Linked DNA regions of Nothobranchius furzeri. The protein of the gene in region 1 purifies or fractionates together with the protein of each later gene. This does not show direct contact. Links are inferred from orthologs where the notes say so. Each region holds a gene or a part of one and is shown in the gene's direction. Other genes may lie near its edges.

Evidence for each region.
Region 2: the proteins of c1qbp (region 1) and prkcz purify together in Homo sapiens (affinity purification with mass spectrometry; 5 studies listed by BioGRID and IntAct, with this or other methods). This does not show direct contact. The link is inferred for Nothobranchius furzeri from reciprocal best matches to the Homo sapiens genes C1QBP and PRKCZ.

What each region holds. Positions count from the first base shown.
Region 1 is NC_091750.1:66,120,869-66,125,043, reverse strand, and holds c1qbp (complement component 1 Q subcomponent-binding protein, mitochondrial), read left to right. Parts: upstream 1-1,486; 5' UTR 1,487-1,640; coding exon 1,641-1,881; intron 1,882-2,137; coding exon 2,138-2,288; intron 2,289-2,359; coding exon 2,360-2,456; intron 2,457-2,558; coding exon 2,559-2,654; intron 2,655-2,743; coding exon 2,744-2,869; intron 2,870-2,940; coding exon 2,941-3,090; 3' UTR 3,091-3,470; downstream 3,471-4,175.
Region 2 is NC_091755.1:44,952,058-44,955,870, forward strand, and holds part of prkcz (protein kinase C zeta type), read left to right. Parts: coding exon 1-80; intron 81-404; coding exon 405-492; intron 493-572; coding exon 573-692; intron 693-3,663; coding exon 3,664-3,743; intron 3,744-3,813. UniProt on the Homo sapiens protein: Calcium- and diacylglycerol-independent serine/threonine-protein kinase that functions in phosphatidylinositol 3-kinase (PI3K) pathway and mitogen-activated protein (MAP) kinase cascade, and is involved in NF-kappa-B activation, mitogenic signaling, cell proliferation, cell polarity, inflammatory response and maintenance of long-term potentiation (LTP).

The sequences.
Region 1 (4,175 bases):
ACATATACTCTAATTTCAACATGTTGTCACATAAATAGTTTATATCTTTGAAGAGGCACCACGTGCGTTTCAGTTTCCTGCTTAGAACCAAAAATGTTTGCATTTATAATTGATGGAATCTCTCTGAGATCCACTTGCATTTTACTTGTTTGTAAGTCAAATGAAAACCTACTTTACCTACCTGCATGTAGTTTGTAGAATAAAGGCAAACATTAAATGAGCTTAATTAGAGTAGAACAGGTTTTCATATAAACTATTATAATTTCTAATAAAAGTATTCCAACTGTTGAAGTAAACCAGTTAATGAAAGAAATGTTTCAACAAGGTGATTATCATTTTTGTTTGTTTACGACGTGTTTCTATAATGCCTGAAAGCTTTGTTTCCAGATAGAAACTTTAAAGTTTTGTCACAGACTCGTGACATAAAGTCCACCCTCTTACATTTTTAGATTTTAATGCATCATAACAAAGCTGAAAAGGCCAGATATTTACCAGGTATTAAAAGCAAAACGAAAAGTTTTGTGTGGAAAAGGAAGTATCAGCCAGCTGGTAATCAAACCTGAGTTTACTGGTATGGAGAATACAGGCGTGTGTAAACACAGTGTCTCAGTACAGGGGTCAAGAGGTCGCTAACAGCTTAGTTCCAATTTGAACACAACCTCTAAATTGAGGTCAGCCCAATTGCCATCAACAGCAGCTCAGATATTAATTGTTCACAACACCTCCACAGACCTCCGCTTGAAAAAAGGTGAACTGTCCCTTTAAAGAAGATGGTTATCGTAGTTCCATTGTCCATACAAACATCTTTATAAAGTTCTTTGCACAAAATTCTTCTGACATGAAGTGATTTCAGCTTTTTTATTTCGACAGTGAGTTGTTTCAAGCCTCACTTTAAGAAAACATCCATCCTACTCAGGCTAATATAACCTGAGGTGCCCTCATATTCAGGGGGGTTTCAGGTAGAGTTGCTGCTGCTCCATGGGGGTTTCAGGTAGAGTTGCTGCTGCTCCATTGGTAGTACATCTCCCTTGCACCTGGGAGTCAGCGCAACCTCCCCGCTCTCACAGTCAGCGAACGGGGAGAAACAGCCTTGCAGCTGCCCTGGGCAAGGCTGAAGTTCACAGGCGTCACTCTGACCACCCCCAGCAGGTAATGTGACACGGACACAACATGACCGACACCAGCTGAGCGGGGTTTGAACCTGTAACCTTCCAATTATGAGGCAGACACTTAAGTCCTCTTCCACCTTGCCCCAATTCCCTGTTTGTGTCATCACAAACTGGGACTTTTTTTAGGCTTGTTAAACCAAAATGCATATGTCCATTTAAAATCTTCCGCTTGGGCACAAAGGGCAGTATTCAAATAAGGAATTGATGATTAGTTAATATATTTTAGATGTGTTTTTTTTTATCATTTGTACATTATGTGCTTCATTTGACTGATGTAATATGTCACCATCGCTTTAAAAAACATTGCTTCCGGTTCAGAGGTCGCAGTGACGCGAGGTCGCTGTGTCCTTCCCCACGTGCTTCCTGTATCTTCCAGAAGAAGCAGCCGTAACCTGCGTGGCTAAGGGGGCTTTCAGGGGCGTTAGATTAAATTATTTTGTTCTCACACAGCGTTTTAATAAGCACACCGCTATGCTGAAGTCGTTTGTCCGCGTAGCGGGAGCCGCTGCTCGCTTGTCCTCAGTCTCGCGGGCCTTACCAATCAACTGCCCGACTCTGTGCGCTCCCAGCTCGGCTACAATTCGGCCGTTCACCCGCTCCCTGTGGATGCTGAATAATAACGGAGCGTCATCAGGCTACAGACCCAAACTGTTCAGCTCAAAGGTGTTGGGTCCTTCTGTGTCGTGTGGATGTGAAGGACTGCACACAGAAGGTAAGGTCACGTTTTAAAGTAACGTCTTAATCAGCTAGCTTGTTAGCCTCAAGCTAGGAGATTTACAACGTAATTAAACATGAAGTTCTAGGTTTTAAATACACATGTAAACACTCAAGTACACACACTTGTCTTACTTAAGCGAGTTAAGTGAACTTTATACGCAGCATTTCATATTTAGTCTTTCTGAAAGGAGTTTTAAAGGTGTTGATGCTAATTCAGACAGATCTATCATTTTTGCCCTCACTTTATTCAGGCGATAAAGCATTTGGTGACTTCCTGTCTGATGAGATCAAAGAAGAGAAGGTAATCCAGAAAAACAAAAGTCTACCTAAAATGACTGGAGGATGGGAGGTGGGGATGAATGGAACAGAGGTGAAACTCACAAAGCATGCTTCTGGAGACAAGTAAGGATGCTACGATTTGTTCTGAGAGGAAGTGGTGCTCAGTGTGGGCTCACGGTGTGGTCTGATTTCAGAATCACCGTCACGTTCAATGTCAACAACAGCATTCCTCCTAACTTTGAGGAGGAGGCAGTGGAGCAGGGGCAGTCACAGAAATCGGCAGAGGAGGAAGTAAGCCCATCATCAATCTATGACCTGATTGGTCGTGGAAAGAAAAAATGATTTTAACACTTTATAATTCTATAATTGTATCATTTTTGTCCTTCTTTGTAGCCAGAGATTGTGTCAACACCCAACTTTGTTGTTGAAGTGACAAAACAAGCTGCTAAACATTCCCTTGTGTTTGACTGTCATTTTCCTGAAGATGAGGTAAAACAAACATACACAAGCACATGCTAAATAGTGAGGAGCCGGTTCTGTCTCAGTTAAATGAAACCTGCTGGATTTGTGTGTTGTAGGTAAGTAATGCCGAGGGGGAGGAGGAGAGCGACATCTTTGCAATCCGGGAGGTCAGTTTCCAACCAGAGGGGGATGTGGACTGGAAGGAGACCAGTTACACACTCAACACAGACTCCCTGGACTGGGTAAGAGCTGAGACTGGTTCAGAAAGTTAATGAGGCTGCAGGACGCTACTCTCATAGTCCGTTTATTCCAGGCGCTTTATGACCACCTGATGGATTTCTTGGCTGACCGCGGGGTTGACAACACCTTCGCCGATGAGCTGATGGAGCTGAGCACCGCCATTGAGCATCAAGAGTACATCAAGTTCCTGGAGGATCTCCAGGGCTTTGTGAAATGTAATTAATGTCAAATGTAATAGTTTCTACCTAATAAAGATGGAGGCTGTAGGGTAAAGTGCTCAGTGACTGATTAGATGGTCGCCAGCAGCTGCCACACTACTCTTAGTCAGTAAAGGTTTAAGTTTTTCTGTAAAGTGTGGCTGTAACTTGAGAGAGAACCTACTGCCAGTTACAGAAGTCTGGGTTTTACTGCCTGGCTCATCCGTAAAAGTCAGGATTTCTGAAAACGCCAACTAACCTGTTTTTCTTTCCGTTTTTAATTGTTTATTTATGACGGATCTGAGCAACTGAGTTTTTGCTGACTGATGCGGTTTTGTCGAATGAGTGAGGTGATGTTTGTTGGAGAGATGGAAAGTTTGTCCAATAAAACCGTTTGATACCAGAATTCAAATGTAATTTTTCTGTGGCCACCGGTACCATTTAGAGTTACAGTTACCTTTTAGCACAGGGGTGTCCAATCCACTATCCAGCATGTTTTCCTGCTTCAACACAACTGATTCAACAGCTGATAGCAGGTTCTGCAGATGCCTGTTAATCAGCTATTGACTAATCTGAGGTGTGTAGATGCACAGAAACCTCTCAAACAAGGAACATTATTGGAAGCCACTGTTCTAGCAAAACACAGCTGCTAGCAGAGGTATATTCATGGATCCAGTCGCACCACCCGGAGGTGTGAGTGGGGTCGGGAGTGTTTCACAAGCTATTTTTTTTGCAGGAACTTTTCTGCAGCTGTTTCGGTTTTCTTCTGGCCTCTTATCTGTTGCATCTCTAGGCAGGTAGCTGCGGGACATTTGTCAGTTTCCTGAGTGTCGGGTTTGGACAGTTGGACCTTTCTGGTAATCTTGACAGCTGAAGGAATCCTGTTTCTCTTTGTTTTTAGCCTTATGGTCCTGCTCAAGTGGCTTCAGAATTAATCTTCACCCCTGTTCAAGCATTCATATATGCACAATAGTTTTATGAATTTAGGAGAGAATTGATTGCAGCTGTAATCAGCTCTGGGTAGTGACTGAAAGAATGATCGCATATACAAGTGGACAAAATGAGTTTTCTTCTCAGGGTGTCTGAGCTCTCCCTTACAGATAGCTCTTGG
Region 2 (3,813 bases), on another chromosome or scaffold:
TCTACCGAGACCTGAAGCTGGACAACGTCCTGTTGGACCACGAGGGACACGTCAAACTCACAGACTACGGCATGTGCAAGGTACGGAGACGACAGCGAATCAGAGCCTTCAGAAATCGCATCAAAGGTTCTGTTAATCAGCGAGTCAAGTCATAAATAATCACTAAGAGAGGAACTAAAGCCACCGCTGGCAGCTGGGCTATGCTCAGAGACCCCTCTGGTGCTGCGAGCAGATCACATGATCAGAAGGTAGCACCGTTAAGTTCTGGAGGTATAAAGGAAGGTGTCCTTTAATGACCCTCTAGAAGAAGACCTTCCCACAGAGATCTCCTGCCTCACAGCACCACCTCAGGACTTGTCCTGTGTTGATGTTCTCGCTCACATCTCATCTCTTCCGTCTTCCAGGAGGGGATCAGACCCGGCGACACCACCAGTACTTTCTGCGGGACTCCCAACTACATCGCTCCTGAGATTCTCCGAGGAGAGGACTACGGTCAGCAGAAGTTGGCTTCATGGTTACCGTAGTTTCTGGTTATGAAAGGTTTTCTTACCATCTGACCTTTGACCTCTCAGGTTTCAGTGTGGACTGGTGGGCTCTGGGTGTTCTGATGTTTGAGATGATGGCTGGAAGGTCCCCGTTTGACATCATCACAGACAATCCCGACATGAACACAGAAGAGTACCTCTTTCAAGGTGAGAGACCAGGACTCACCTGCTGCTGTCTGTCCACATGCCTCAAAGTGGGCGGGTTCTCTAGAAACAGGAAGTGACTGAAGCAACGAAGTCGAGGACAGTGTCCTTGTGAGGACCCGTCTTGCATGGACCGGGTAGGACAGGCCCTTCCTCGACCGCCCAGCCCGGGAGTGAGCGGCTGTGAAGTAATATGGTTGAGTCATCATATTTATTGCCGCCCTATTTCAGCGCATGTCCTGTTGCCTAGCAACCATAAGTCACTAAACGGGAAATACCAGTCAGAGGCTCATCTACGAGGATTTCTTTATGTACACTAAAATCCTAACAACACAAGCTTTTAGTTTCTCCCACCAGGTTTAAGTACACCAACGTTTAAGGCGTTAGTCCTCCCGGGCTTAATCTGAACGGGGGGGGGGGGGACACCAGACCGGTCCTTTAAAAGACGCATTTGGAGTTTTCTTCAACTTTGGACGACTTCCTCTCTTCACTGGGACATAATCGGCCGTACAACGCATCCTTGGAAGGGTGCAGCCCCTAGGTTTGGACACACCCACCCCTGATTCAGAGGTTTACTTCCTGTTTCTAGAGACTCCGCCCACTCTGACGTCTCATGCAGGTGGTTTGCTAACAGTAGATAAATGACTGAATAAACTTCCTAAAATCCATTTAAAATGTAAGCATCAGCCAATCAGAACGGGGGCGCTGCAGCGCGGACTTCGTTAGTGTTAAAGGGATTCTCTGCGACTTTTTCATATTTTTATAAGATTTTCTTGAGCAGGTGCGCTAAAATGAGCCTTTACAGAGTTAATGAAGTGGCCAGACCCTGCTGCCCTCTGTGGCCAGGAAGTCGCATGAACACAGCTGATTGGTTGGGTTTAGTGACGAGTCAATCCTGTAGACACTGAGGAAGGCTGGGAGACGTTTCAGCGCTTAAACCAGGCCGGGACGACGTCGTGGGCTGAACTCCGTATTTATTTAAAGTGACGGCAAATGCGGCCATTTTCCTTTTTCTTACAGGTATTTGTGGGTGAACCTTTCCACCTTTCATCAACACTGAATAACTAAATTACACACGAGCAAGTACATTTTAAATCAACACATCATGTCTCCATTTTTACTCTTTTATTCCTGAAATGTGTGAATTCAGCATCGTTGAATGAACCTTTTGAATCGCTGATGTTTCTCTGTTGTTTACTTGTTATTCTTATTGTTTACTCTCCTTTTCTGCTCCTGTGAAGATCGTTATTGCTGCTGTCGCACCAACCCTTCCTGCTGAGGGACAATAAAGGCATTTTCTGTTTTATTCCATCTGCAGCCTGTTCAGGTCCATTTTAGAGCAGGTCTAACCTTATTTTACAGGAAAACAAAAACAATTCTCCTACAGGAAATCATCTCACCTGCTTTAGAGCAGGAAAAGTGCCTGAAGCCACAATATTCAAGCCCAGTGATTTACTGTGGAGCTCACCTGTTCCAGGGTTAGAGTTAACCCTAACCCTAACACACCTGCACCTGTGGGCTCCGAGCTGAGGCTCCGGGGTTGTTCTGTTCATCTTCATCACAGACAACAGGTGCTCACATAGACAGATGTGCTGCTGAACATGGAGAATGTGAGCAGCTACGGCCGGAGTTGGGTCGGTGTGTCGGGGAGGAGAGATGACAGCTGCAGCAGCGACGGGGTCACGCTGACTGGAGTGCGTCGCTAAACTGGAAGTTGGTTGGTGAGCTTTTCATGTCGGCCGCGGACGGTCCACTCGGTCTATCGCTGAGTAAACTCTGAGTGTTTTCCGTGTGAGAATGAGGAGGGTATGGCTGCAGACGCTGAAAGGAGGGAGCGCTTCGACTGACACGCTAATGCCGCAAAGCCCCATGGGATTTGTAGTCTCTGCGGCAACACGGGCCAGCGGGCCAAACTGAGATGAAGGTGTAAAAGAGATGAAAGCACAGCGAGGACCTCAGAGAAGTAGTCGTGGACACTAGGGGGTGCTAAAAGCAAGCAGAGAGGCTAAGTGTGCCTTTAATAAAAACTTCCTGCTGTGTGTTTTATTTAGTTTGTCCGCCAGAGCCTGAACTGGGTCCACTCAGAGACTTATTATGGGATGTAATGAAAGAAAACTCCACCTCGACTGTAGGCCCCTCCTTCAGGAAGCAGAGATCTCTATTTATGCTTTATTGCAGCCATATGGTCTCCCCCCGGGTCACCTCCACCCGTCCAAACACGGTCCACCCCAGCAGAAATTCCTCCGTGCTTCAGACTGACGCAGATCCTCTCAGCTGTGAGCGCCACGGCGAGGATCTGCCACGACTCTGTCCACCTGATGGTCTCACCGCTCCGTCAGCGGGTTCCTGAGTCAACGTCTGCCAGCAGAACCCGACCCCCACACGTATGAGCCGCCACCATATGTCACCTGGTACTGGGCCGGTTCTGTTGGGGGTGCGTGGTATCAGAGACAGAACCCATGTTGTATCAAAGTGGAAAAGTCAGTGAAAGTCCTTGTGAGTGGTGTTTTTACAGTGTAGCCGTGAATCTGAAACCTGAGGATGAAAACGCGCCGGTCACATGACCTCCAGCTGGAACTGATTTTCTTTTTATTAAAAACTTTGATGTGGAGCTGTTCTCGTCCTTCAGTATTTTAGCGTATTTCTGTTCTCCTCTCTGTGAATCTCGAGGCTGGTTGTTGTTGGAGCTGGGAGGAGGAGGAGGAGGAGGAGGAGGAGGAGGAGGAGGAGGAGGAGGAGGAGGAGGAGGAGGAGGAGGAGGAGGAGGAGGAGGAGGAGGAGGAGGAGGAGGAGGAGGAGGAGGAGGAGGAGGAGGAGGAGGAGGAGGAGGAGGAGGAGGAGGAGGAGGATCTGACTCCCACGCAGCAGACATGGTCACCTACAGGCCGCCTGGCCGCTGAATCATCCACCTCCTTACTGACAACTGCCCTTTCATTGTCTCTCCTCTTCCCGCTGTCCTTCTTTTTGCCAACAGTTATTCTCGAGAAGCCCATTCGCATCCCGAGGTCCCTGTCGGTGAAAGCTGCCGGCGTGCTCAAGGGCTTCCTAAACAAGGTGAGAGCCGTCCGCTCGCATCAGGCCGCCTTTCATCCGTCTGAGACCCGCCGAGTCCCGGCGTTCTTCC